Linked DNA regions of Lonchura striata. The protein of the gene in region 2 purifies or fractionates together with the protein of the main gene of each other region. This does not show direct contact. Links are inferred from orthologs where the notes say so. Each region holds a gene or a part of one and is shown on either strand. Other genes may lie near its edges. The genes, in order: HDAC1, SMARCA5, HDAC2 and RBBP4.

Region 1 (7,525 bases), on a different chromosome or scaffold from region 2:
CTCCATCCTTTCCCTCCATCCTTTCCCTCCATCCTTTCCCTCCATCCTTTCCCTCCATCCTTTCCCTCCAACCTTTCCCTCCATCTTTTCCCTCCATCTTTTCCTCCATCTTTTCCCTCCATCTTTCGTTTGGGGCTGTGAAACTCCATCTCCAGCCACCCCTTACAACTCCCACCCAGCTTTTGGAACCTCCAACATCTCCTCCTCAGCTTGGGCTGCCCCGTGGAGCCGCCCTCCTTGGCTGGCACCGCTGCCCGGTGTCCAGATCCCATTTTTGCCTTTTTTTCCCCCAAGGGTTCTACAATGGGCACACGAAGGTGGCAGTGAAGAGCCTGAAGGCTGGCAGCATGTCCCCCAGCGCCTTCCTGGCCGAGGCCAACCTGATGAAGAAGCTGCAGCACCAGCGGCTGGTGCGGCTCTACGCCGTGGTCACCAAGGAGCCCATCTACATCATCACCGAGTTCATGGAGAAGGGTGAGGCCACCCCTCACCCTTTGGAGGGCTCCATCCACAGGGAAGTGGCCACGGAGCTCTGGAACTTTAAGGCTGGAAGAGATCTTTGGGATAAAGTTCATGCTGTGAAAAATCCCCACTTCAACAGACAGAGCGCTGGGGCCTGGGCATTGTCCTGACAAGGGTGGCTGGGCCTGGCGTGGTTCTTGTGGCCCAAATTGTATCCTGGGCATTGTCCTGGCAGGGGTGACCAAGCCTGGAGTGGTTCCTGTGGCCCAAAATGGGTCCTGGGCATTGCTCTGGCAGGAATGACCAACCCTGGCATGGTCCCTGCCACCCAAATTGTGTCCTGGGCATTGTCCTGGCAGGGGTGACCAAGCCTGGGGTGGTTCCTGTGGCCCAAAATGGGTCCTGGGCATTGCTCTGGCAGGAATGACCAACCCTGGCATGGTCCCTGCCACCCAAATTGTGTCCTGGGCATTGTCCTGGCAGGGGTGACCAAGCCTGGGGTGGTTCCTGTGGCCCAAAATGGGTCCTGGGCATCATCCTGGCAAAGGGTGACCAACCTTAGACTGGTCCCTAAAACCTGGGGGTGATCTAGCTTGAGTCCTGGGCATTGTCCTGGCAGGGGTGACCAATCTTAGGGGGGTCCCTGCCACCCAAACTGGGTCCTGGCCATTGTCCTGGCTGGGCTGGTCATTCCTTAAACTCCTCCAGGGTGGTGACTGCAGCACCTCCCAGTGCAGGCTCCAAAACCAGTCAGAATGAAAGACTGGCAATGTGGAAATTTGTTCATTTTAGAGGTTCCTGCGCCTCCAGCCCCGGGGAAGCTTTGCCTTTGTTCTCTCCCATATCCAGCTGGGGCATGAAGGATTTTCTGTGTTCTCCCGGCCACATTGCCAGAGTTTTTTTTGGGGGGACAGGGCCCTTGTGACCCCCCAGGCCCCCCAGGAGCTGAGAACTGCTGCTTTCATCACAGGCAGCCTCGTGGACTTCCTCAAGACCTCGGAAGGAGTCAAGCTCAGCATCAACAAACTCCTGGACATGGCAGCGCAGGTGAGGGGGGAGCAGAGAAACGGGGAGAGAGCTGGGAGACCTCCGGAGCTGTTAATTAACAACTGCAATTCATCCATAATTACAAATCCCAGATTGCCGAAGGCATGGCTTTCATCGAGGCCAAGAATTACATCCACAGGGACCTGAGGGCCGCCAACATCCTCGTCTCGGACACTTTGTGCTGCAAAATCGCCGATTTTGGGCTGGCCAGGCTCATCGAGGACAACGAGTACACAGCTCGGGAGGGTGAGCCCCGCCCAGCCCCGGGGGTCACCGGGCTTGGGGACACCGGGAGGGGGACCCGCGGCCAGCCTGGATCCCCGGGGAGCTGCAGGAGAGGGGTGCAAGGATGGATTTTGCCTTTTCCATCTCTCTCCCCCCGCGGCTGGAGTGCTTTGGGGGGGCTCCCGCAGGCTCGGGGGGCTCAGCCACCAGAGCCAGCCGGTGCCCAGGCAGCGACAGAGCTGTCACACGGAATTCAATCAGGTTCCAGCGCTTTATCCTCCCCTTCCCACCGCTTTCCAGGGGCCAAATTCCCCATTAAGTGGACGGCACCCGAGGCCATCAACTACGGGACGTTCACCATCAAGTCGGACGTGTGGTCCTTCGGCATCCTGCTCACCGAGATCGTCACCTACGGCCGGATCCCGTATCCAGGTGAGGATTTTGGGGCAGCTGCGGGGCCGGCACGCCCGCGGTGTGTTGTGTGTGTGTGTGTGTGTGTGTGCGTGTGCATGCAGCGCTGCACGCACGCTGCTGCCAGCCTGGCACCCTGCCCGGCCCGGCTGCACCGGGCACGGTGGCCAAAGCCACCTGGGGAGGGGATGGAGGGGATGGGAGGGGATGGGAGGTGCCCCCCATGCGGGGTTTGGGAGGGTGGGGAGAGGTACCTGCCACCCAAAATGGGTCTTGGGCATTCTTCTGGCAGAAATGACCAATCCTGGGGTGGTCCCTAAAACCTGGGGTGACCCAAACTGAGTCCTGGGCATTGTCCTGTCAAGGGTGACTGAGCTTGGGGTGGTCCTTGCCACCCAAATTGGGTCCTGGGCATTGTCCTGGCAGGAATGACCAACCCTGGGGTGGTCCCTGCCACCCAAACTGGGTCCTGGCCATCCTCCTTGCAGGGGTGACCAACCCTGGGGTGGTTCCAGTGACCCAAACTGGGTCCTGGCAGGGGTGACCAACCCTGGGGTGGTTCCAGTGACCCAAACTGGGTCCTGGCTGGGATGCCCAACCCCAGGGTGCCACCCACACCATGGGGATGACCCGAATCGGGTCCTGGCAGGGATGACCAACCCCGAGGTGATCCAGAACCTGGAGCGTGGCTACCGCATGCCGCAGCCGGACAACTGCCCGGCGGAGCTGTACGAGCTGATGAGGCAGTGCTGGAAGGAGAGCCCCGAGGAGCGCCCCACCTTCGACTTCATGAAGAGCGTGCTCGAGGACTTCTTCACCGCCACCGAGGGCCAGTACCAGCAGCAGCCCTGAGGGTGCTGCTGTGGGGTGCTGGGGGTGCCCCACAGACCCCACGGACCTCACCCAGGCTGGGGTGGGGAGCTCTGTGAGGATTTGAAGTGCTCCAAAGCTTGGGAGAGCAGATTTGAGTCCTCCAGGAGGAGCTGCAGACCCCCAAAGCTTGGGGCATGGCGCAGATGTCCTCAGGGTGCCCACCCTGCCATCCCTGCTCTTCCCAGAGGGAAAATCCAGGCTCCAGCCCCCCAGGGCTCTCCTGCCCCACTCTTGTGTCCCTTTCACCCCCTTTTGGCTTCATGAAGAGCGTGCTCGAGGACTTCTTCACCACCATGGAGGGCCAGAACCAGCAGCAGCCCTGAGGGTGCACCTGTGGGGTGCCCCACAGACCCCATGGACCTCTGAGGGGTCCAGGATGAGGGGGGAGCTCTGTGAGGATTTGAAGCATTCCAAACCTTGGGGGCTGCAGATTTGAGTCCTTAAGGAGGGGCTGCAGACCCCCAAAGCTTGGGGCATGGCACAGGTGCCCTCAGGGTGCCCACCCTGCCATACCTGCGCTTCCCAGAGGGAAAATCCAGGCTCCAGCCCCTCAGGGCTCACCTTCCCCATTCTGTGCCCCCTTCACCCACCTTCGACTTCATGAAGAGCATGCTTGAGGATTTCTTCACTGCCATGGAGGGCCAGTCCTTGAGGGCTCTGCTGTGGGGTGCCCCACAGCCTCCATGGATGTCTGAGGGGTCCAGGATGAGGGGAGAGCTCTGTGAGGATTTGAAGCATTCCAAAGATTGGGGACTGCAGATTTGACTCCTCCAGGAGGGGCTGCACAGCCAAAGCAGTCCCCCAAAATCTGGGGCATGGCACAGATGCTCTCAGGGTGCCCACCCTGCCATCCCTGCGCTTCCCAGTGGAAAATCCAGGCTCCAGCCCCTCAGGGCTCTCCTGCCCCGCTCTGTGCCCCCTTCACTCCCTTGGGATGGCAGGAACCCCCCCCAGCAGCGCTGGCCACCGCACCCCGCGGCTGCTGGAGCTCCCTCTGCCCTCACGGCGTGCGCAGGAGAATTTTACAGCGACTTTGGGGAAATAAAGGCATTTTCAGCAGCGGGGGCCAGGCTGCCACGGGGTGCGGCACGCGGGGCGATGCCCACAGCACACGGACCCCACCGGCACCAACCCACCCCAGGGAGCCCCTGCGACCCCCGGGACCCCCCCTCAGCCCTGGTAGCCACCCCTGGCCCTTCACTCGCCCAACCTGCCCTGGCTCCCCCCTCCCCTGGGATGGTTCAGCCCCACCTGCCCCCCCCACCCCACCAAGGGAATGGTTCCTCCCTGCCCACCTGGACCCTCGATGGTACAGCCACCACCACCCCCCCATCCCCCGCCGCAGTGGTACAGCCCAAGCACCCCCGGCGCTCAGCCTAACTTGCTAGGTGCCGCTGCGCCTTGCCATTGGCCAGCGGGCGGGAGGGGGAGGAACGGAGAGCTGCGATTGGCCGGCGCGGCGCGGGGGGCGGGCCCGCGGGCCCGGGGCGGGCGGGGTTGGGTGCGCGGCGCGGCGGCGGGTCGGGCGCTGTGAGGGGAGGCAGGAAAATGGCGCTGACGCAGGGCACGAAGCGCAAAGTCTGCTACTACTACGATGGTGAGGAGCTGCGGGCACCCCCTCGGGGCTGCCGGGCCGCGGGGGAGCCGTCCTGGGGCGGGGGGGAGGGGGGGATGAGGGGGCATCGCGGACGGAGGAGGCGGGGGTGAGGGGTGAGGGGTCATGAGGCGGTAATGGAGAGGGGGGTGAGGGTAATGGGGTCACTGAGGGAGGATGGGGGTGCTGGGGGTGGGATGAGAGGTTGGTAATGGGGGATCGTTGGGGTCATGGAGGTGAGGGGGTTGAGAGGTTTTGGGATGGGTGTTGGGGGTATTGATGGGCGGGGACGGTCGGGGAATGGGGATCAGGGGTTGTGTGGGGTTTTTAATGGGGTTGAGAGGCGTAGGGAGCGTGTGGGGGGCATGGCAGGGGTATGGGGAGAGCTGGAGAGGAGAATGGGAAGAGTGGAGGGAGATCGGGGGGTGGGATGGGGAAATTTGGGAGATTGGGGGAAGATCAGGGGGTTGGGATGGGGAGATTTGAAGATTTGGGGGAAGATCAGAGGGATGGGATGGGGAAATTTGGGGTTTTGGGGGAAGATCAGGGGTTTGGGATAGGGAAATGTGGGGATTTGGGGGAAGATCAGGGGGATGGGGAAATTTGGGGATCTGGGGATTTGAGGGAGTATCAGGGAAATGTGGGGATTTGGGGGAAGGAACAGCGGGATGGGGAAATTTGGGGATCTGGGGATTTGAGGGAATATGGGGGAAATGTGGAGATCTGGAGGAAGATCAGGGGGATGGGGATTTGAGGGCATATCAGGGAAATGGGGGTTGGGATGGGGAAATGTGGGGATTTGGGGATTTGAGAGAAAACCAGGGAAATGTGGGGATTTGGGGGAAGATCAGGTGTTTGGGATGGGATGGGGAAATGTGGAGATCTGAGGATTTGGGAGATGGGAAAGGCTGGGAAGGGTCTGGGCTTGGTGAGAGGGGCTGGAGGCCAGGAGAGAGTCTTTTTGGGTGCTGAGGTGCTGGAGGAGGATTTTGGGCTCTGAGGAGGATGAGGCACTCCTGGGACAGCGTTTTTTTGGGGTCAGCAGGGGCCAAAAAGCTTTTGGGAGCCAGGGTGGCTGTGTGCAGGCAGCTCCTGCCAGGAGCATCCTCCAGCTGTGCCTCTGGAGTGTGGATGGTGGCTCCTTTTGGGGCTGCCTCAGCATCCCTGTGCAGCAGGGAAGGAACAAATCCCAAATCCCAAATCCCTGGCTGTCCTGTGGGGCTGAGCAATCCCAGTGCTGCCCCTCTCCCTTCCCCTGCTCCTTTTTCGCTGCCTCTGTGCTCACCTTGTGCCACAGGCCTTGTGCAATTCTCTGCTCCCACACGGTTTTTGGCCTGAAATCAAATAAAAAACTTCTTCTTGCTACTTTTTCCCCCTCTCTAAGGAAGGAGGCTTTTCCAAATCCTATGCTCAGAGCTTTTTTTTCCCCCTCTAAAAATGTCGTTTTTTTCCCTTCAAATAGGAGGTTCTCAGCCCTGCTGGGTTATAATTTTTAAAGGCATTGAATTATATCTGAAATATGAAATAAGCAGTTGTTTTGTTTGAAATGCTGCTGCCCTGCAGGTCTTTGCTGCACAAGAATTTCACCAATTTGGGTTCCATACTTTGTGGTGAGCTTTTAGTGCCATTTTTTAAATTTTTTTTTTTCCTTTTTACTGTTCTTTTCTGAGCAGCTTTTCAACGTCCACAGCTGAGGGGTAAAAAGCTGCTTTTACTGAGAGGAAATAAATAATTTGTTGATTGGAGCCTTTTCTTTTCCACGCTGGGAGGCTGGAACCAGCCTAACCTGCTGTGGGAATTCCCTGAATTTCATGGGATGAAGGAATTGGGGTCCTTCCCTGCACTCCTGAGTGGCTGAGGAAAGATTTGGGTGGAATTTCTCCATTCAGAGCCTCCTGATGGAGGGATTTGTTTAACCCCAGCAGAGCCTGCTCAGTTCACACTCCTTAATCTGCTCTGACGTCCAGGAGCAGCTGAGCTCATCCAGGGATCCACAGGGCTTGGGATGTGCTCAGCACAGGGAACAGGAGCTCAGGGTTGGCCCAGGGCATTCCCTGGACAGCTGATGGGGATTTTTGTAAAAGCTTCTCCGAGTTCTGTGCTTCTATTTCCTATGTACAGCCTCAAACATCTCTTACAAGTTCCCCAAATCTTGATTTAGAGGTAGTAAAATCCGTCCCTAAAACACGGCAGGATGGTTACACCAGCACGGGTTGCCAAAATGTGAGAAAACAGAATTATTTTCAGTGAGAAAAAAAGTGATTTTACCTGAAAAAAAAATTCTATTTACTGAAAGAACATCTCCCCAGAGCTCCACAGACAGGTCAATTCCAGCAGCAGACTTGCCTGGATGTGGGATTTGCACTTTTGGCATCTCATTTTCCTACCTGGAAATAGATCCATGTCCACAGGAGGAAGAAAAACTGCTTCTGCTGAAGGTGGAGAGTGGTGATGAAATGTGAATTCTCCCCTCTGAGTCACCGGCCAGACCGGCTTGGATCCCCTGCTTCCCAAAAGGAGCAGGAGTTGTTCCAGCCCAGGAACAGCTTGGGCTGGTTTCCCAGGAAAATGAAGCTTGGGAGAGATTCCTGCTCCCTGCAGCCAAATCAGGCAGAAATCTGAAAGGGAAATTCCTGTGAAATTCAGGGAAATGAGTGCCCCTGGGAAAGGAGGTGGAATAAAAACCCCATTTATCAGTGAGGTGTGAGCTCAGTTTGGAGGAGAAAATCCACGTGGGGAGGTGACTTTGTTCCCCATGTCCCATAAAACAATTCCTGGCGGGTGGCTGGAAAGGCCTGGGAATCCTCTGGAGGATTTGAAGGGATCAAAAGGGGTGAAACCAAGTGTGGAGCTGTAAAAGCAGAGCTGGGTGGTGTTTGCAGAGTCCAGAGTTCCCTGGATCCCGTTTCCCGT
Region 2 (7,388 bases):
TATATATAAAAACTATGAAAAAATAAAAAAGAAGGAAAATAACAAATTTTCTCCTTTCTAACCTGTGAAGCACAAAACCAGCATCCATCTTCAAAAATCTGAGGACTCTAATTAAAGCTTCATAAAGAGATTCCTAGACAATCTTTCCAGTTCTGACCGAGAAGCTGAATGCTCAACTCTTTATAATCCCCCTTGCCTAGAGGATGAACTGCTCTACAGGTAACTTTAAAATCCTGGAAAGGAGAATGGTCCCAGAAGTGTTCTTCTGAATATTTTTTGTTTCAAGTTACTTAAATATTTTTTAATACCCAGACAAATCTTTATAAATCTGTTTAAGATATTTCAAACAAGCAAACAGAAAACTCAAATCTATTTTAAATAAGTGCATAAGTACTAAATGTACACAGTGCCAAATATTACATACCATTTTCTCTTCATATGTAGGATCTGTTTCCTGGATTTCTTTTTGCTTTGCCAGAGACGTATCATCAAAAGGCTCCTGAGATGAAAAAGAATTAAGAAGAAATATTTCTGAAAAAGAGAAGATACCCATCTAAAGGAGAACAAGCTCGTTTCACATTGTATCAAAGCAGCAAAAGTTGGTCGTAGCACCTGATGTGGATAGACAGTAGTCAGTTCTCTATTATTACCTATACAATTACCTGGAGATGAATCGGAGATCCCTGCCACAGGGTGAGGGACAGAGCTGAGTCTCTGTAATCTGATTTAGCTCCATCATTAAAGCATCACATCAATGTGAATGAGGGAGACAGCTGTGGTCCAGGAGATCAGCATGCCAGTTCTAGGGTTGTGAGCCAACCCCCCTGAAGCTGGCTCTGAGACGGACTGTGAAAGCACCAGCTCTAGGCCTGAAGCAATTTCAAGGTTTTTGCCAGATTACCCCAATCCCTCATCACTGTGTATTAAAAAAACAAATCTAAACAAGAATCCACACTGCACTTTTGTCCTGAAAGCTGAGGAGGAGTTTAGGAAACTGTATTTTTTTTTTCCTACATAGTTTACTAAATTAAATAATGTTTATCACCCATGGTACTACTAACAACAGAAGGACCAGCTGGCTAGGAGAGGGCAGTCTTCCCTCATGCCCTTCCTGCCAAATTCTTAACATACTGCCTTAAATTACTCTTCTGGATCAGGGCTTTTTCATCCTTGTCTTTTCTGTCATTAGGTTAACTCTTTGCATATTGTCTCCCCATATGCATTTTCATCTCCTGTTAAAACTAAAAGCAGTGAGATGATCCTTCCCTGATAAACAATGCTAAGGTAACACATAACAAAATAACTGTTGAAAGATTGAGAAAATGAAACAAATGAGATGCCGTCAAGTGTTTTTACTGTTTATTTGAGTTTAGTAAGTATGGGGCTAAATTAAATCTTTATCGGCCAATACAGAACAAAGGAACAGGAGAAGAAACAAATGAAACAAAGGCTGGCAAGAAACAGGATATTCGTCAGTGGGTATTTCCTCACAAGCCTCTAGCAGGTGAGGCATGTGGAAACAGAAAAATCCTAACACAAATGTTTAATTCACTAGACAGAATATAAAGAATTGAGTGTAAGAAGTCATGGCTAAAGCTCTTCTGAAATCATAACTAAATCCTCTTACTCATCCCTCACTGGACTGAGCCAACACCCAAGTAAGCACAAGCAGAGGACCGTTGGAACTTCTGTTCGCAATTCCCCTTTCTGCCACAATGCCTAACCTGGAAAGCACAGCAGCAGAGCGGCACGGCCATCCGAGCTCATCATCTGCTGCACAGATGACAGAACCCTGCAGCTGAGCTGGAGACCAGGGAAAACAGTCCTTCAGATGCTCACGGCTCCAAGGCATTCCAACTCAAACTTCACTGTACGCCAGGAAATCCCTTCCCAAGGTAAAAAAAGGAAAGGAATTGGCAGCACAGAGAGCCCTCGCACACGGGCGCCACAAGAGCACGCGTTTCTCAGCCTGCACACGCTAAACTCCAGCCTGGAAGTGCCCTATTTCTGCAGGTTCGAGCAAGATTAATTTCCCACAGTGCTTTGGCTACTTGTTCATCCGAAAAACATGGCATTTGCAATGTAATTTAGCACAAGTAGGTTGAACAGCCCAGCGTGACTCAGAGTACAAAATACCCAGCGCTGAAAGCAGGACCGACCAGTTTCCTGCTATCATTAAAGAAACAATGCCGCGATAGAATTAGCATCTCCAGGCAATCACTTCCAACCCCCTGAAATTTCTGGAATATATGCACCTATTGCCAAAACAACCCCTCTCACAACCCTCGCACCTCTTTTCTCAAAAGAAAAAAAAAGGAAAAAAAAAATAGAAAAAAGTTTTGAAGCACTTCAGCAGACAAACATCGCTCATGCGTTTTAGACACCGGGCTGGCTGGCGGCTGGAGCAGGAAGCGCAAAGGCTGGGCAGGGTTTCGGGGAAGCAGGAGCAGACAGAAAGCCTGGGGGTGCGCGGGGGGCTCCCGCCGCCCCGTTTGGAAAACAAGTGGCGTGCCTCGGCCGCAGTGCCTTCTTCCGCGCGTCCCAGCGGCAGGACGAGCGCGACCCCTCCGCGGCGGGGAGGGGGCGAGAAGGACGGGACACCGCAGACATCGCACGGCGCCGGGCCACGCTCACGGCGGGAGGGCGGCGGGACCGAGCGCGGCCCGGCCTTGCCCGGTGCGGCCCCGCGGCCGCTCCTCCATTGTCTCCCGCGGCCCCACGCGGCCCGGGTGTCCCACCTGCCGCCGGGGGAGCGGGGGGACCCCGCCGGCCGAACCGACTCACCTCCATCTTCGCGTCGCCCCCGGCCAGGCCGGCGGCGCAGGGCGGCCCCGTCCCCGCGGCCTCGCCGGTGTTGGCACCCGGCGGCAGCGGCGGCGCGGGCGGCTCGTCCGGCCGCGGCGGCTGCCCGGCGGACATGATCCGCGTCGTGAGGAAACGGCGCCTCGCCGAGGCTCGGGCTGGCGTCCGGCGGGCTGCGTGCTGCGGACAGGCGCGGGCGGCAGCCGGGATCTGCCGGCGGCGGCGGCCTGCGGGTGTCGGAGCGCGGCCGGCGGAGGGAGCGAGGCCCGGCCCGGCCCGTCCCGGCGGGAGCCGCCAAGCCGCGCGCGAGTCGCCCCGCGAGCCCGCGCTCGCGAGACTTCCCCCGCGAGCAGCGCGCGCCGCCGCCGGTGGGGGCGCTGCGGCGCGCGCCGGCCCCGCCGAGCTCGGCGGCGCTCGGTGCGACCGCGGCGTCCCCGCCTCCCTGCGATGCACAGCCGTACGGGAAACCTGAGTTCAAATCGCGGCTGGCATCGCGTTTCACGCCCTGTGTACGATCACAGCGTATTCCGAGTTGGAAGGGACCCGCGAGGATCGCCGAGTCCGCCTCCTGGCCCTGCACAGGCCATGCCCGAGGGTCACACTGTGCCCCAGCGTGGTCCGGATGCTTCTTGAGCTCGTGCTGTGACCACTTTCCTGGGGAGCCTGTTCCAGCGCAGGCCCAGCCTCTGGGGGTAGGATTTTTTTCCTGACATCCAACCTAAACTTCCCCAACAAAACTTCAGGGCGTTCCCTGGGGGATCCTCTCGCTGTCACCACAGAGAAGAGCTCAGTGCTTATCCCTCCTCTTCCCTTCAATCTCCAACTGCAATGGGGTCTCCCCTCAGTCTGCTACAGGCTGAACTGACCTCAATTGCTCCACACGTGGCTTCGCCTCAAGGCCCTTCACCATCTTCACAGCCCTCCAGGAAAGGCTCAGGAATCACCTGAGGAGGTGAAGCCATGCTCTGGCTGGAGCCCAGCAGCAGCCCCGCACCCCGTGCGGGAGCGGCAGGGAGCGTGGTTAAAGCAGGTGACAGCAGTGTGCTATACCGTAAGTTACTCAAGAGGCAGCTTCAGGTTGCTCTATGGGCTCCTCATCTCTCCATGAGCTCTGGGTAGAGGGACTTGAACATTCACAGAAAGGGTGTCACACAGAGCCACCCTCCAAAGTCCCCTGCTCTCGCTTGCTCAGGTTGAGCCAGGCCAAGTTTGTAGGCACAGAAGTACACTTTTGTAACCTAAATACAACCACAGTGTCTGCTCCCAGCTTGAAGCATCGTGGGCTGCAGCCCCCTGCTTTAGGATGTAATTGAGCAGATCTACACCTGCAATGCCTCACAGATAACCTGCCAGGTGCCACCTACCAGAGCATGCATCCCAGAACCCTGGAGTGCACGGAATAGGATGAAACTGAACAGGAAAAGCTGCTTAAGAGCACTACTATTGCACTCAAGGTGCTAACAGAGGCTGTCCAAAGGGCCAGACCTGAGCTAGTTAGAAGCAAAACTCCCCTGACTGGTTCACAATGTGGACAGTCATGTTCTCCACATTATCCAAATTGCTCTATACATCTGCAGATTTGTCACACCAGTAGGTATTCCGGCAATATTCACAAGAGTTGTCAGTGTAGATGCAGCCACTGAGTGCACTCCATAGGTTTGTGGAGCTGCATCTTCCATCTTCTGAGAAACCATTGTAGCCTGGAATGTAGCAGCAAAACAGACCATCTTCATGATGATTATTACAACCTTCATTCCATTGTCTTTTATTACAGGCATCCTTTAATATTTTTTGAAGTTAAAATTATTAGCTTTGACATTTCCAAAAGACGGTGTCACTTTTTTTCTGCTAGAACTGCTCAGAAGAATAAATTCCCAGAAAATATCAATTTTCCTAGAATAGGATTTCTCAGCTAATCACAAATTTACTGACATATTTTTCCAACTCCTCGTTGTCCTCTCTTATCACAGATGAAAACTCTGTCCCTGAGCTTCGCTAAATGCTTTTCATTCAGGTACACAGTTTGAACTTTAAAAATACATGTGGCAGCAAATTACAAATTAAAATAACTGTGTTATTTTAGCCAGCTCTATTCTTCCAGCGTAGTTTTGTGTCTACTTGCTGTGCCTCAGCTCCTGCCCCTCTCCCAGAGCTGCTCCAGATAATGCAGTGCTCTCTGTGTAGTGAGGAGTGTAAGTCATGGTGGGAAGGGAGCTACATTCCCCCTTTCCCATTTTTCATCTTTTGCCTCCCCTGCAAAGCACACAAACAAAACCACACATGGAGAATCACTGGTGAAGGAAAATGGGGTAGAAGGCCCTTGGGAAGAAGTCAGGTGTTTGGGAAGAGTGGCGAGGATATTTCAACACCTTTGACACCATCTTTTAGACTAAAACTGATAGGTAGGATCTGGTTTGATGGGGAAGGTAGAAAAGCACAACTCCATCCAAATCTCATTGATCCTTGGCCATCTAGCAAAATAAAACAGCACCATGCCAGGGTGTGGGGGTGTTGAGATATTTGTGTTATTGGTATCAGAAAAGGTGAATGTTCAGCTCTACTTCAACAGGCAAAATAATTGAAAAAAAAAAAAAGAATCTTGCCAAAAGTTAAAAGACAAAAGGCTCTAATTTTTTTTTTTTTGAATTTTCTGAAGTCCTGAAAGTAGCACAGAAGACTATGCAAAAAACCTCCAGAAAACCAAAACTGAAACAAAACCCCACCCAACAACAACAACCAAACCACCCCCCTCCAAAGAAACACCCCAACGAAAGCAGGAAAGAGGACTTTCCAAGTTAACATGAAAAAGTTCACAAACACACAAAACCATAACAGTCCATACAGAGTCCAGATGTGAAGACCTTAAATTGAAAGCAACCAATGGCATAAAGAAATTCATAACAGAAGTTACTGAACCTACTGAACACCTACATAATGGTCAAATGCACAGTAAAGGAAGATATCCCCTCTCAGCCATTACCCAACAGTAGAGACAACTAATTACTAACATGCTTATGAAGTTAGTAAACAACAGTTTAATAACAGATTTTTGTCAAATCTCTCAGGTGACACATCTTTCAATTTTGTTGCTTAGTTGTGCAATCTAATTTTAATTAATGTTCTTTAGATGGCTCCTTGTTAAACAAGAAATTGAAACACCACAAGTAAAAGTAACTCTGATACTATTAGCTGTGCAGCAAGTATGCTAATAGGCATTGCTGAACATGTATCAAAACTGTAAAACTTCCCAAAATTTGGGAAACGGAAGGAGTGAAACAGAGTTGTTTGTAGTTGCTCCATGATATGCTCATTTGGGTTCAAGAAGGTAAGAGAGGGGTAAGAACTTGGTTTGTGTTCAGATCTTAGGTGGGGGATTGTAATTTTTTTTTAGTTTACAGAGCCAAAGCAAGATACTACCCACGTGAGATGAGATACTGCCAGTTCTACTTCCTCACAAGGCTGATGTTGAGCTGGACTATCCCATCAAGAGTAAATACAATTAGACTTATTTCAAAGCCATCACTTCTGTCACTGTCACTTTTCTTCTAGCCTCAGATTAACAGTGCTGCAGGCAAGAGGTGGTGTACACACACACACACGATCAACAGTCAAAGAAGTCATCAAAATAATGCTATATCTATTTCAAAAAACCCAAAAACCACCCCCAAAATAAAACAAAAACCCCAAAACACTCTGCCTATCAGCAAAGGTCACTGTCATCAGCTTTATCGTAACTGTCAACACATTGATTTACAGTATTAAAAAAATCCATCCCCACAAAAAAAAAAAACCTCAACATATGCAAACAATACCATATATTAATTTCAGTAGATTTCTTAATGCAATGGAAACTTTTTAGAGTTTAACATATGTAGGTGTATACATTTCATCCTTGTGCTTTTTAAATTTTGAGTGCCATGAAGATGACATTGAGATTGTTCAAATTTTAGTGTAGCCATCCTGGTAAAATTAAACTTTCACAGAAAAGAAACAGCCCAGACTTCATCTGACGTGCTTAAGCAAACTGTAAGCCTGTCGTGTGTCTACCTTCAAAAAGTAGACTGCAAATATAGTGACATGTGAAGACCAAAAGTTTTTAAAATTGTGTCCAACCACAAATGAGAGAATATTTGGTAACAGCAACATGGCATGCAGATAGCATATCAGACTCTGCTTGTGCCTAGTTTAAAACAATCCCTTTGATCAGTAAATTTTACCCATGCAAAAAAAGATGACCCCATATGGAGTCAAATGCTGATACTCATTACAGAAATCCTCGAAGAATGGAGATTCTGTAACAAGCAGCACCCTCACAGAAAAAAACCCCAGAACTAATAAAATGCTTTTAGATTTTATTTCTTTGCTGCTATGACTGAAAAGCTCAACCAAAAGGCAATCATATATATTTTTTCAATATGCAAAATAAATTTTTGTATAAAAAATAATGCACAAACACAGACACAGATCATTCCATTTTCAAAACTCCAGTTTCTCCTCCATCTCAGCAACTAGGTTCTGCCCTGGCCCTGTTTCCTTTAATGAAGTTCACTCCTCACCTTACAGTATTGCAACCAGAGCGAGACAGG
Region 3 (7,187 bases), on a different chromosome or scaffold from region 2:
CACACCAGTTGCTGCACGATTCTCTAGAGCTGTGCCAGTCTGTGCAGGAGCACAGAGCTGGAAAGACCATCTGGGGTCTGTTCTCACTGCTGTGGGCAACTGTACAACACCTTGGAAGAGCTACCTGAGCCACAATGCTGCAAAACCATGACAATAACCTGAAGACACATGGCAAGAGAGTAAACTAAAAACTATGATAGCCTTCCACATCTAGCATGGTTCTAAGCAGTGTGAGGAGCACACTTTGTTAAGCTGTATCAAGACTAGAAGAATTTCTGAAAAATATTTTAAGCAAGATCATGGAAGTATTTAAATTCATATTTTAATTCGTTTTTCCCATAGTATACTGGCTTAAATTTAAGCAAAGTTCCTGACCTGAGCATGATCACAAGCAGTGAAGATTCTGCAAAATTGGATGTGGTTAACTTTCTATTGCGAGCAAACTCAAGATAATGAAATCAAGCTTTGTCTACTCAAAGTTTATTAGTTCCACATACAGTATGAAGACTGTTAAAACTATTGATTTAGGAAAAAAAGCCTTAACAACAATACACTCTAAAGAAGTGACAAGCTAATTAAAAAATCAGCATTAAATGACAATCATACCAAGTTTCACAAAAAGCAGGGGGAAGTTTATTGCATCTCAGAAGATAAGCGTATATGCTTCTGGAACTTTTCAAGACCTTTTAGTGTGTAACTTTTAAGAAACAGAGTAAAAGTACGTGTGGAGAGCCAATTATGACCCAAAAAAAGAGGTAATTTACTTCAGACATGACATTCCTTTAGAGATATACCACTACCTCAGTATTTTTTTTTGTTTTGGGTTATTTAAGGCTTCAAACACTCTGTTCACTGTGATTCAATGGCTTTGCTGATACAACAGTTAGTATTATTCAGAATTGCCAGATGAACCACACAGTAGCATCAGGATATCTATTTTCGGTATTAACTCTAAAATTTTTTCTAATAACTCTATTTCCAAAAGGCATGCAAAATAATTGTTGGATTTGGCAACACAAAAAAATGAGACATCAAAAATATTCCAAAACTGTTTCTGGCACATATAAAATATTTATTTTAAGGTACAACAGGTAATATCTTCTCTACATTATTAACTACATTTATCCTAGTCTACAGATAAGCTGCAACTGCTTTAAGTCACCATTTTCCTGCCACCTCCAAACTTGCTCCTCTTCCAGTTTCTCCTGACTCTTCACAAGTATAGCTTTAATCATTAGATTAGGGAATCTAATGCTAGCATCGAGTACCAAATCCAGTGATCACAGAAAAACACTGTATCAACATCTGGTGAACTACAGCTACCTGACTTTATCAAATAAAAAAAAAAAAAAAAAAAAAAAGGAAATTGATTTTAAAAAAGGCAAACATTTTCAGAGAGAAAGCTTATAAACTATCACTGCTGTCTTTATTTCAACAAGGCGAAAAGTGATTCCTCTTCCCTAGGAAAAGTAAGATCCTAGCCTCAACAAAAGTATCCCTAACAGGGGCCTCCTTTCCCCTTTAGGCTGAACAAAGAACCACTGCTAGCAACAAAGAGAAGGGGGCGGCAACCACCACTCTGCCTTCTTTAGTGTGGTTAAAAAAAAAGCCAAGACAGGCCCCACAAGATCTGCCATTTCCAAAGAACAGCAGGTTTGCTACAGCAACACAACCTTTGATATCTTGAGTGGGTTTAGCCACTCATCTTCACTTCCAAAATGGTGAAAACACCAAAGGTCTCCGGCTGAACATCCTCAACCTCTGTTTGCTGACTATTTCCAAGACCAGTCTCAGATGCAGCCATACAAGATTGTTACAATAGGAGGCAATTTAATCAAATCTCTAAACTAATCTGCCCATCTAGCTCACCTCCCAGTACAAAAAGGGCTAAATAAATTCAAGCTTAAGAAAACTAGAAGTTCTTGGTGCTGCGGCCAGAGAAAACCGCAAACAAGTTGCTGAAAATATCTCAAACCAAGCACTTTTTTTGCCACGACTGACAACGCCGATCGCAAGCCCCCTGTGTCCCCACTACACCAGTGTGGCAAACTCAGAGGGCCTACATGCAAGTCAAATTCCACTATTATTAACCACCCACGCACACAACTTTCCGCGTTTTGCGGGAAGGGAGGCTCGTGGGAGCCAGACCTCTGCTCTGATCCGTGTTCGGCTTGGGAATGGGGGAGGAGGAGGCAGAGAGCCCCTGTCCCTCCGTACCCCAGACCTCGGCATGAAAGCGCTAGGCAGGGAAAGGCCTCGGCTCAACAATCACCAGGTGCCAGAGCTACACATGGCCTGGACTTTCTTTGCAGGGGAGGAGCCAGACACAGCAGCAGCTTCAACGCCTCCCTGCTCAGCGGATGGAGGGGAGTGTCTCAACTTTTCTTCTTCTTTTTTTTTTTTTTTCCTCTTTTTTTTAGGGGGCGGGCGGGGGGGGGCACGACGCGCGGGCGGGTGGTGAGTATTTTGGGGCGAAACAATGGCCACAGCACCTACCACCGGGGCTGGGGGATAAGGGAGCTCCCCGACCCTCACCTCGCCCGACTCCACCACGCCGGCCCCGCCGCCCCGCGGGGCTCAGCAGAGCCGCCGGCGGGAGCGGGGCGCGGCGGCGCAGGTGAAGCCAGCGAGGACCCCCGCCCGCCATGGGGCCGAGCCGAGCCGGGCCGGGCCGGGCGTGGGGAGGGGAGGGCCTCGTCCCGCGGGACGGGGGCGGCCGTGCCGGCGGGACCAGGAACACAGCCCGCCCCGGGCGGCCATTAGAGGGGCGCCCCCCCCGCTCTTGCACGCGCGCTCCCGCGCCGGCCCCGCTCACCGTCGTAATAATAGCAGACTTTCTTCTTGCCGCCGCCCTGACTGTACGCCATAGGGCTGCCGCGTCGGGGCCGTGGGCAGGGAGCGGGAAGCCGAGGAGAGCGCGGAGCCGGCTCGGAGGGTGGGAAGGAGGGGGCGGGAGAGCGGGAACTCGCGACGCCGGGACCGCCAGCAGCGGGAGCGGGCCGGACTCTCGGCAGCGGGAGGGGCAGCTAGCGGGACGCGCCCAATTTGCCGCCGACAGAGGGAGGAAAGGGAAAGAAGGAAGAGGAGAAGGCGCACGCGAGCGGACGTGGATTCCCGCCGCCCCCTCCGTGAAAGTTTTCCTTAGTTATACACAAAAGCCAGGGAAGAAGCCAGTGGGAATTCTTCATAAACAAATTCTTGGAGAAAACTATTTTCTGTCCCACCCCCACGGCGCGCAGTGGTACGATCCGCCGCGGGTGTCGGGGCGGTACCCCGCCCCTCAGCGGAGCTGTGTGGCGCATGCGCGGGGTGTCCCATGGCGGCTGCGGCAGGAGCGGGCACGGGGACCGCCGCGCTTGGGGCGCAGCGGGCCCGGCCCTGCCCAGCGCCAGGGCCGCGGCCGAGCCCCTCAGCCGCCCCGGCACCGCCCGGGGCCGCGGCCGAGCCCCTCAGCCGCCCCCGCACCGCCCGGGGCCGCGGCCGAGCCCTTCAGCCGCCCCCGCACCGCCCGGGGCCGCGGCCGAGCCCCTCAGCCGGCCCCGCGCCGCCCGGGGCCGCGGCCGAGCCCCTCAGCCGCCCCCGCACCGCCCGGGGCCGCGGGGCCTCGTCCCCAACCGCGCAGCGCTTTCCGCCGCGCTAGGGCCCGAACTTCATCCTCATCAGGGCGTCTGCAGATGCTCGGCCGGCTGGGTTGTCGCGTCTGGTCCCCTCCCCAACTGAAAGTCTACTCTTTTCCACAACAAAACTCGTTTCTGTTTTGTTTCGGCTTTTTTGAGTGCTCCTGTCTGTCAGTACTCTGTCTTAGTGGCAGGCGTTGCATCTCAGTATTCCTGTTCTAGAGGAAGTTCAAAGCATGCTTCATATAGCAATTCTCCCAAAAAATCAGCGCATGCCACACAAGAAGCATTTAACATCTGAATAATTTTTTTCTGGAGATCTATCAGCCGTTTTCTCTCCTTGCCTCGGCTCAGGTACAAACTCAGGAAGGAGAAGCATGACGGCATTCATGCTTAGCCAGCTTGCTTGTATTTCTATTTATACAGGGATTCACACTTGTGATGCCTGATAAACTGAGTCTGGGGGTACACATCAGTTACACTAAAGTTTACTGTTTCTTCAGCTGACCCCAAAGGCCTATATTTACAGACTTTACACTCATCCAAGTCTTGACCAAAGTTTGTTGATTTGCTGGAGTCTCTAAAAGTAACTAAAACCCCTGGTTATTGCCACATGTGCTTCACTATTTGAAAACAAGGCAACAAGTATAACCTATGTCACACAAAACCAATACATGCCTGAACACAGGTTTGGTCTTTGTTCCCAGGATTAGGTTGCTTTTTCCCCTAGAAGTACCTCACAGGGGTCTGGGTCCTTGTAATTGATTTAAAAAAATAATTTTATATTATTAGAGACAGACAACTGTAAAATAAGTTTGTTAAGCACATGCATGCACAAACACCTTAGGATAATCCTGGATTCCACCCCCCATCCTTCACCTTTTAACTAAAGGATATTATGTTACGATGTCATCAGATGGTATAGCATTTTTAAAGAGCTTTTTTCATATTCCATTTGGAAATTTTTCTCTTAGACATAGCATACAAAATTTATTCCTACATCTTATAATACAGCTGATGTTTGTTTCTTGGTGTGAAGTGCAGCAAAATACCTGTATAACACTATCAGAGGCACGATATCCATTTACTGATAAATTCCTTTTTATCTCAGCGTTCTTAGTGCTGTCACTACTTGAACAGACTTAGATTGGACTCCAGAAGCTCCATGATTTTGTATTGGCTAACCACCGCATTATATGCTTCTTTGACCACTAAAATTCAATGTGTTTATGAAATTACTCAACATTTTGTAGTTGTCTGATAAATTTTTCTATCAAAATAGTAAAACAACATATCAACTACCTCAATATCAGGAATACTTTTATTGCACCACATAGGGAATTCAATAAAAGCAGTGATGTATTGTTAAAGTTCTTATTAGGGACTTCATGTGAAGAAAAAAAGCTCATAATTTTAATTAGTCTCAAATGGATACTCAACCTCATATAGGAATAACTTATTTTGGTTTAAATGGCCTAAATCAAAAGAGGCTATGTTGCTTTCAGGGCAAAAATAATTATTCATAGTCTTCTAACATCTGAATTTAGGCAAGTGCAGCTCTTATTTAGAGAAACTCCTTGAATACCAACTCATACCTGCATTAAGAAAGTGTCAATAAGCATATAAAGTTATCCTTTTGTCAAAGGGGTAAGAATTCATTCACTGAATTCACAGTAGCTCAGTATGACAGTAAGGACACTATTACATTTAAAGGTCAGTAAAGCTTAAATATCAAGTTTCACGGGTTGTGTATACGAGGGTGATTTCCTAGACCAGTCCCGCTTCTAGCAATGCAGGTTTTGCAGATGTCTTCAAAGCTGCTTGTTAAGTGAACAGCATGCTACACAAAAGCTAATGATCGAGAGGAAACTTCGGAGCGTCACTTGTGGGGTAAACAGACACCCACACCGGCCAGCTGAGGCCCAGGCCCCTTGGAAAACTGAATAGACCAGATAACAAAGTATCACTGGGAAAGGCTGCTGTTACTTTTACTATGTTGCAACATGCAGACACTTTATAATGTAATGATTATTTTTTTTCTACCTTCCTGTAATGGCTTGTTTCTGTTACTGGGTGAATGCTAACGTTATTTCACTCTTTCCCTGCATCATTATATTAACATTAGCTTGTTATTTCACACTGAATTTATGTTATACCTTAGATAGTAAGGTTTTTTTTGGGAAGGGACATAAAAAGCAGCAATAAGGATCTTTTAAACAGAAGAGTAACTTTCATCTTCAACATATACATCCAACATTGCAATAGAAAGTATTATTATTTCTTACACATTTATCCTAAATCACATCTACTGTAAAAACTCACAAAATGATGAGGCAAATAATGGACAAGAAGGTCTCTATAAGTAACAGTTTATCCCTTTACTGTTCTTATCAAAAAGCAATCTATAATTCTCAAATCCCTTCACTCTCCCTACCTCCACTCAACTAAAGGTATTTTTAAAACAGAGCTTAAATGGAGGATCTGGAGCACCTATTTTTTCTCTTAACTGCTGCTATAGAAAAGCAGTATTACTTTGCACACCATGAAATGATGAACAATTCACCTTCTTTCTCTCTCCTTGCATAATCTAAAAGCAGAACGATACAGCTAGAAAGCTTGCCATCACCTAAGCTTATTTCTTATCCAAACTATTAAAGCCCATGCACACACGTCGATATAGCCACCTTAATTCTCTTTAACAGAGCTCAATAACTAATGAAATTGACAGGAAAAAAAAATGCACTAAAACTGAAAATGAAATCTATAGCAAATAAAAAAGAAACCCCAAACAGCCAACCAAACTAAAAATCAACCAACAAACCATTAAGAAACAACAAAACTTCTCTTTAAAAAGCAAAGAAAATTATTCACCTAAGAATTGATGAATCTCTGTATTAGCAAAGGCCAGAAAGGGTCTTTAAGATCACCTCATTCCAGACCATAAAATCAAAAATAAAAGAAAAAAAAACCCCAACAATCCAAACTAGTTTAGAGAAACATACAAAATATATTCATAAATTCAACTCCTCATATAAGAGTTACAGCTTATACCATTAAGCACAACTCAGCACACCCCACCCACCTCCCTTACCCCTAGCCATATTCCTTTCTCCTACCACCCTCTTTTTATCTGTGAAAGCAGCATTTTCAAGTGATACCTATTAGCACCATTCACAGCTGCAAGCTTGTAATCAACAGACATATATGTGTGGAGAAAAATCACAGACAATGCTCTTGACTTGTTCTGTTCATGCTGTTGATAGGCCTTAGATAAGCTCTGGAAAGCATAAGAGTAAATAAAGTTTTGGAGTCACTTTCCTGAGAAGAAAACATAGTTTTCATCATGCAAATACCTTGCTAATGAAATCACTTTATGTAGAATGTCAAAATCATTAAAGAAAACATAGATAAAGAGAACTAAACAAAAAAAAAGGTTCATATTTGCTCAGATTCAGATAGCTTATTTGCCCAGTAAGCACTGACAATATTGCTATCTACCAACTGCTTTTGAATTTCAAGGCTGCTCAATATCCTTCCTTAATTGCTGCTGGAAATTGCTAAGAGTAATAG
Region 4 (6,822 bases), on a different chromosome or scaffold from region 2:
TCATTGCACAATCCAAACTTCCTGTAAAAAGTAGAGCAAACATTGGATCATTGAGGACTTTCACCTGGTGGAAAGACTGATTCAGCCAAGCAAACAGGAGAAATGTCTAACTTGAGACAGCCACAAAGGTTACAAAGCATCAAATTAAAGTCTGATACATGGAATGAAATATAATTGTGGAACAGCAATCAGGCAGCAGAACTCACAGAATGTTTGAAATGTTAACACTCCTCTGAAATAAAAATATTCTTTTACGTGAGTTTGTGTAAAAATGTTTCGTGTGACTTTGCGTAATGCAAATGTGGTAATAAAAACACCAATTAAAAGCAGTATGTGAGATTCAAGGTCAGTTCCTGAAAAATAGGGAAGGGAGAGGTTTTCCCACACACAAATATTTTTGCAATCAACCTCTACTGTCTGTTTCCATCATCAGAAATATTAGATTAGTAACACATTCAAGAAACAGAATTTGTCTATTAAGGAGGCACCACTTAGAAATAATTTTTTTTAGAAGTAAAATCTAAACTTTGCTGCCTGAACTTTAGGGAAAGACAGAATTTCCTACTGAGAAATGGAAGGGGAAATGGTTCAAATTCCCCTTTTTTTGGGCTCTTACCTCCTTTCTCACTGTCATAGTGGGAAGCATCAAACTGGGCATCGTCGTTGGGCAGCTGCACGCTGGCGATCACCAGGTGGTTTTGTTCATCTGAGGTGTGGGTGCCCAGCACCAACCTGTGGATGCTGAAATCTTTGCCTTCAGGTCTGCAGGGGAAGAGAAACAAAACAGGGATCACCAAATCTCTTCCCTGTGAGGATGAGGAGGTGCTGGCACAGGGGAATTTGTCCAAGGCCAGGTTGGGCAGGGCTTGGAGCAATGTGGGATAGTGGAAAGTGTCCTTGGATGAGCTTTAAGGTCCTTTCCTGCCCAAACCACTTTGGGATTGTGTGATCTCAACCTAAAAGCCAGCACAATCCTGGATTTTCTGCTTGTTCTGCTTTAAAAAGAGAGCAGAAGGGTCCCTTTACCTTGTGACATCAGGCAGCCACTGAGCAGTCAAGCTGGGCCACTCCAGGGCATGGGTCATCACCAGATCATACAGGAAGGGGGTGTTCTTTTTCCATATCTTATATTCCTCGTTGATCACACGCTCTTCCACTGCATCATCAAAGGCTGCTGAAGTGTTTTTTCAAGAAATACATGCAATTAATTATTTGTAAATGAATTTACAGACATACAGCGCTGTGGGCAGGCAATGGGTTAGAGTCAAGTACATCAATCACACCCTGGTTTGCTATTTGCTCTACTGGAATAGTTACTAAACGGTTAAAAATCCCCTGTTGCACATGCTAATCCTTTTTTATGCATACATGGCTGGGAATTAACATTAACTATGTCATATTTCATGCCTAGAAGTGTCCCAGGGCAGGCTGGACAGGGCTTGGAGCAAGCTGGGATAGTGGAAGGTGTCCCTGCCATGGCAGGGGTGGAATGGGATGAGTTTAAGAAATGGCTCAGAAGAGGAAAATCCATTCTGGGATGATTTGAGGACGATGCTGTTAGAGCAGCACAATAAAATTCTGAGACTCAAGCACAGGGAGGCAAAACCCAGGCTTGTAAAGATGTTTAAACACAGGAGATCCAGCAACTGCTGTTTAACAGACCGGTCTGGGCGCAGCCTTGAACTACTTGCTCCCAAAAATCCAGTTTCCCAAGGCTCCTTCTGCTGCCTTGTAGCTCTCCAACACTTCCTTGGCCTATCTGTCACCAGCCTCCGGTGCAGAGAAGGTGACGGGCAGACCTGGGGGGGCTCACCCGTGGAACGGGGACACCCTAAAGGAACTGGGGACACCCCCATGGAACGGGGGACACCTCCATGGAACGGGGGGTACATACTTAAGGAACCGGGGACACATCCTGAAGGAACTGGGGGACAACCTCAAGGAATCGGGGACACCCCTAAGGTACCGGGGGACACCCCCAAGGAATCGGGGACACCCCCAAGGAACCGGGGGTACATCCTGAAGAAACCGGGGGACATCCTCAAGGAATGGGGGACACCCCCAAGGAACCGGGGGAGATCCTCAAGGAATCGGGGACACCCCCAAGGAACCGGGGGTACATCCTCAAGGAATGGGGGACACCCCCAAGGAACCGGGGGACATCCTCAAGGAATGGGGGACACCCCCAAGGAACCGGGGGACATCCTCAAGGAATCGGGGACACCCCCAAGGAACCGGGGGTACATCCTCAAGGAATGGGGGACACCCCCAAGGAACCGGGGGACATCCTCAAGGAATGGGGGACACCCCCAAGGAACCGGGGGACATCCTCAAGGAACCGGGGACACCCCCATGGAACCAAGGATGTCCCCCAGTTCCTTCAGGGTGTCCTTTAGGGAGACACCTCCATGGAACCGGGGAACACCCTCAAGGAACCGGGGACACCCCCACGGAATGGGGGGGACACCCTAAAGGAACTGGGGACATCCTCAAGGAACTGGGGGACACCCCCACAGAACCGGGGCTCTCCCACGGGAGGGGAGAACCCCCCTGCGGGACCGGAGCTCACCCATGAAACGGAGGCACCCCCGCCCAACCGGGGCACCCTCCGGTGCCACCCTCGTGTGCCCGCTCCCCGCGCAGGGCACGGCCCGGCTCTCCCGGCCTCACAAGCCGCTCCGAGGGGCACAGGGGCGGGCGGAGGGCCCCGGCCCGGGCCGCTGCCCGCGGGCGGTGCGGCGGGCGCGGGGAGCGGCGGCGGCCATGCCTGAGGGGGAGCGCTCAGGCCCCGCCCCCGCGCGCCCCCTGGCGGCACCGCCCCGCTCCCCTCACGCCGTAACGGAGCTGCGGGGGGGGAGAGGGAGGGAACCCCGCGCCTCCCGGCGGAGGCCGCGCCGCCCATAACGGAGCCTTTACCTTCCTTATCCGCCATGGCGGGGCGGGGGGGGAGCGCGGCGGGGCGCGGGGAGCGAGGCTGGGCGAGGCGGGCGGGCGGTTCCTGCGCTCCCTGCGCTCCCTGCTCCGACCCCTCCGGCCGCGGCTCCGTCTATTGTTTCCTGCCCCCGCTGCGTGCGGCTGCCGGCGCCGCGCACCCCTTCGCGCGCCAACGCCGCCCAATCAGCGCCCGCCGCCGGGAGGCGCCGGCCAATCGGCGGAGGGCAAAGGGGCGGGGAGGGGAGCGCGCGCCGCCGTCCCGTGGGCGGGCTCCCCGTGGGAGCCGCCATTTTCCGGAGCGCCCTCAGGAGCGCTCTTAAAGGGGCCGCGCCCCGAGCTGAGGGGCGCCGGGTTCGGTGCCAGTTCCCGGTCCCTCGTTTGGAAGAAGCGGTGGCTGCGGCTCCTCCGGTCACCACAGACGTGGGAAGTGCGTATCGCAGCGGGACCGGACCGGTGCGAGTGTGGGCCGAGGCCGCCATCCAGGGCCGCCCTGCCACCATTGGGTATCCTCGGCGTGTTATTAATTCTCTGTAATCACGAATATGTTCCCTTTTCCCACAATTTACTGCCGCGGTGAGTTTTAAAGGCGTGACATTTGCTGGTTCTGGTCGGCTGCTGTGCTGTCCACAGGTGAGGCTTAACAGGTTTAAAATCAAATATCAGTATCTGGGTTTATTCCTCAAGGGATACCTCGAGTTCTCAACTTCAGACACCTCTTTCCAACACACTTAGATTTTTAGCTGAAATTAAAAATTGGAAATCTTAAGCCTTGTTTCTAAGCTTTGGAGTAAGAAGCGACTCCTGTGTAAAAGTTAAGGTATATCTATAAATTATTTGTGTTTGGGGAAGTGCTGGGTTCAGCTGAGGATAATTCTTATAATGCACAAAAATATTAAAGAATCGTTGTGATATCTGGAAATCTGGAGAGGTAAATTAATCAGCCTGAAGTTAATTGGGTTCATCAGTTTCTCTCATGTTGAATTTACAAAAGAACAGGAAAAATAAAATTTGTGAGATTGGGGTGTGAGGATCTGACTTTTATATGGGGGAGTTGATACATTTTCTTTTTTACAGTTCTTTTTTTTCCCCAATTCTTTTCTTTATACAGTTTTTTACAGTTGATACAATTCTTTTTTTTTGTTTTATTTAAAAAATCAGCTGGAGAAGGAACACAGGAAGCCCCTGGCACTTGGGTGACAGCTGGATTTACCATGCACGTGCTTTGAGGTTTAATTTTTTTCCTGAGGAAAAACCTGTAAGGTCACATCAGGGGTTTTTGGGGGCAGTGACACTTCAGGTGTGTGGTGTACAATGGGCTGAGCACCCTCAAAAAATGAATTAATTAGAAAATTGAAATTAACCTAAAGCATGGAAGTTTAATTCACTTCACAGCAGTTCCCATCAGGGCTGTATTTTATTAATTGTGAATGAACTGAATGCTCAATGTACACAAGGAGGAAAAAAACAGAATTCCTCCCAGAAAAGGCCAAAATCCACAATTCCTATAAGGAATATTTTCCCTTGGCTCTGCTGCCTGACCAAACATCACTTCATGGGTGTGGGATTTAATTTCTTCCCTCCCAATCTGACACAAACCAGCTGAAATTCGGAATCCTCCCTGTTCTCCACAGGTTTGTGAGGAAAGCAGGAACTGAGGGAGAATTCCTGGCTCTGCCCCAGCCTGAGGAAGGGAGGGATCCCTGGGGAGCCCTCAGCGATGGCAGCCGAGGACAGGGATTACAACCTGACCCAGGAGCAGAAGGCTGTGAAGGACAAGTACCCCCCTCTCTGCAAGAAATATGAATGTGAGTATTTTTATTTTTTTAAAATATTATCATGATGCAGCGTGTGGCAGTGCTGTTGTGAGGGCAAGGAAGATAACAGGAAATACAGGAATGAAAAACCAATTTTCTTCATGTTACTTTCTTCATTTTTTCCTCAATGTGTTTCCTCATTCCTTTTTTAATTTTCTTCTTTTTATATTTTTTCTTCTTCATATTTTCTTCTTTTTATTTTTTTCTTCATTTTTTTCTTATTTTTATTTTTTCTTTTTCTTTTTTTCTTCATTTTTTCTTCTTTTTCTTCTTCATTTTTTCTTATTTTTATTTTCTTCTTTTTTTCCCTCATATAAACAATTTTTCTTGTTATGGGCACTGAAAAAAAAAAAAAAAACAACACGCTGGAAATAAATGACTCAGGTCTCACCCTGAAAACTTTTCCTCTTCTGAGCCATTTTTTAGCAATTTCTCTACCTCTCCTGTAGGAAGGGACATTAAAAAGTGGGCTGGCTTTGTGTGTGGTGTTTTTACTCTCCTTAAAGATCTCTCCCTTTCCCCACCCCGGGAATGGCTCCTCAGAGGATGTGGGTGGCAGCCCAACCTCTGATAGAATTTCTATTTTTAGGCTGTGTTCAGGTCTTTATTTGCTAGAAGTGCAGAAATTGTGACACATCACAACAGCCACACAGTTTCCATAACTGGAGGAGCTTTTATCCCTCTTTTGCACCCAAAGGAATTTGTTTGCTTTAGAGACTGTTGTCTAATAGTGCGTGATCTCTTTAAACAGCACCAAATTTTTTTTTTTTTTTCAGTTAAAGTGAGCATTTATTTCACATCCCAACTTAGTTCTGCTAGAATTTTCATTTCTTTAATTTCTTTGAATAAACATCAACAAGGTTCACGTACAGCTGGATACATGGGATGTTAATCATGCTCCATGAGTAAAGTTTGCCTTCTATTTTATATTCCATCCTCTGTTTTAAATTCTTCTCTTTGCATAATGGCTGCTTTTGGGTGTGCACAGGTAGATTTCCTTACTGAGCTGGAAATATTTGCAAATCTCATCCTCTGCATGAATAACTTTGAGTCCTGCAGACTTCAGCATAAACATTTTACTCCTGGTGAAAGTTTCTTGTTATTGCAGTTAACCTGTGGAAGCCTGTTGGGTTACAGCAGCCAAACCCTGCACTGACATAATCACATTAAACAGGTTTTTTGGCAGAAATAATATCCAAATTTCCACCTGTGCTAAATTTTTCTAATATACTACAGTAGATTTATCATATATGCAGACGAATGTAAAAATGTTTTGTTAGAAAATCAGATATTTTTGTTATTTTTTTAATCCTTATATTATAAATACTTTTGGTGACATTCCTTTTCTTTTTGCTTCCCCTCAGATTTGGATCACACAGCAGATGTGCAGTAAGTGTGGGCAGCTGGGATTTCTCAGGGTGACAAATTGATTATTTTTTACACTGCTTTAAGCCTGGAGTAACAGCCAAGGACACTTTGCAGATGTAACACCTTGTGGAGCTCTGAAATGTCACTGGGTGCTTTGATATGGTCAGTTTTGCTCCTGCTTTTGGGACACCATAGAATTACGTTTGGTTTCTTTTTTAGCATTCAGTGCTATTTGGAAACGTCTTTTGAAATCTCCTTTTAAACAAAATTTCTTCTGTGTGGTTTACTTTTATAGACACCATTTAGTCACATTAGGAAAGAAAACTAGTAAAACATTTATTTTCCACATTCTCCCAAGAAACTCTTCTGACAAACTTCTTCTAGAAAAATCAGGTGGTTTTTTTTACTCATTCACCTCCTCTGCCTGAGTTCCAATGTTCTAATTGCTCATTTGCATGTGACTTTGGGGCTGTTCCTTTTTGTTGTGATCCAGTATTGTGTTGCAGCGATTGTTGCATGTGTTTTTAGGCTCCAGTGATTGTTGCATGTGTTTTTAGGCTCCATGCCTGGGGAGACACCTTGGAAGAAGCCTTTGAGCAGTGTGCCATGGCCATGTTTGGCTACATGACAGACACAGGCACTGTGGAACCTGTGGATACGGTGGAGGTAGAGGCAGAAGGTGAGGACTGCACCTCTTCTATGCAGA

What was found.
Region 1: the proteins of SMARCA5 (region 2) and HDAC1 fractionate together in Homo sapiens (co-fractionation; 3 studies listed by BioGRID). This does not show direct contact. The link is inferred for Lonchura striata from reciprocal best matches to the Homo sapiens genes SMARCA5 and HDAC1.
Region 3: the proteins of SMARCA5 (region 2) and HDAC2 fractionate together in Homo sapiens (co-fractionation; 5 studies listed by BioGRID, with this or other methods). This does not show direct contact. The link is inferred for Lonchura striata from reciprocal best matches to the Homo sapiens genes SMARCA5 and HDAC2.
Region 4: the proteins of SMARCA5 (region 2) and RBBP4 fractionate together in Homo sapiens (co-fractionation; 6 studies listed by BioGRID and IntAct, with this or other methods). This does not show direct contact. The link is inferred for Lonchura striata from reciprocal best matches to the Homo sapiens genes SMARCA5 and RBBP4.

The regions. Positions count from the first base shown.
Region 1 is NC_134628.1:1,055,230-1,062,754, forward strand, and holds the start of HDAC1 (histone deacetylase 1), read left to right. Parts: upstream 1-4,508; 5' UTR 4,509-4,566; coding exon 4,567-4,615; intron 4,616-7,525. UniProt on the Homo sapiens protein: Histone deacetylase that catalyzes the deacetylation of lysine residues on the N-terminal part of the core histones (H2A, H2B, H3 and H4).
Region 2 is NC_134606.1:64,813,215-64,820,602, forward strand, and holds the start of SMARCA5 (SWI/SNF-related matrix-associated actin-dependent regulator of chromatin subfamily A member 5), read right to left. Parts: upstream 3,019-7,388; 5' UTR 2,920-3,018; coding exon 2,785-2,919; intron 500-2,784; coding exon 425-499; intron 1-424. UniProt on the Homo sapiens protein: ATPase that possesses intrinsic ATP-dependent nucleosome-remodeling activity.
Region 3 is NC_134605.1:67,189,299-67,196,485, reverse strand, and holds the start of HDAC2 (histone deacetylase 2), read right to left. Parts: upstream 3,001-7,187; 5' UTR 2,868-3,000; coding exon 2,816-2,867; intron 1-2,815. UniProt on the Homo sapiens protein: Histone deacetylase that catalyzes the deacetylation of lysine residues on the N-terminal part of the core histones (H2A, H2B, H3 and H4).
Region 4 is NC_134628.1:930,448-937,269, forward strand, and holds the start of RBBP4 (histone-binding protein RBBP4), read right to left. Parts: upstream 3,008-6,822; 5' UTR 2,933-3,007; coding exon 2,917-2,932; intron 1,175-2,916; coding exon 1,027-1,174; intron 763-1,026; coding exon 617-762; intron 1-616. Other genes in the region: ZBTB8OS (protein archease), read left to right, coding at 4,652-4,739, 6,113-6,137, 6,674-6,795. UniProt on the Homo sapiens protein: Core histone-binding subunit that may target chromatin assembly factors, chromatin remodeling factors and histone deacetylases to their histone substrates in a manner that is regulated by nucleosomal DNA.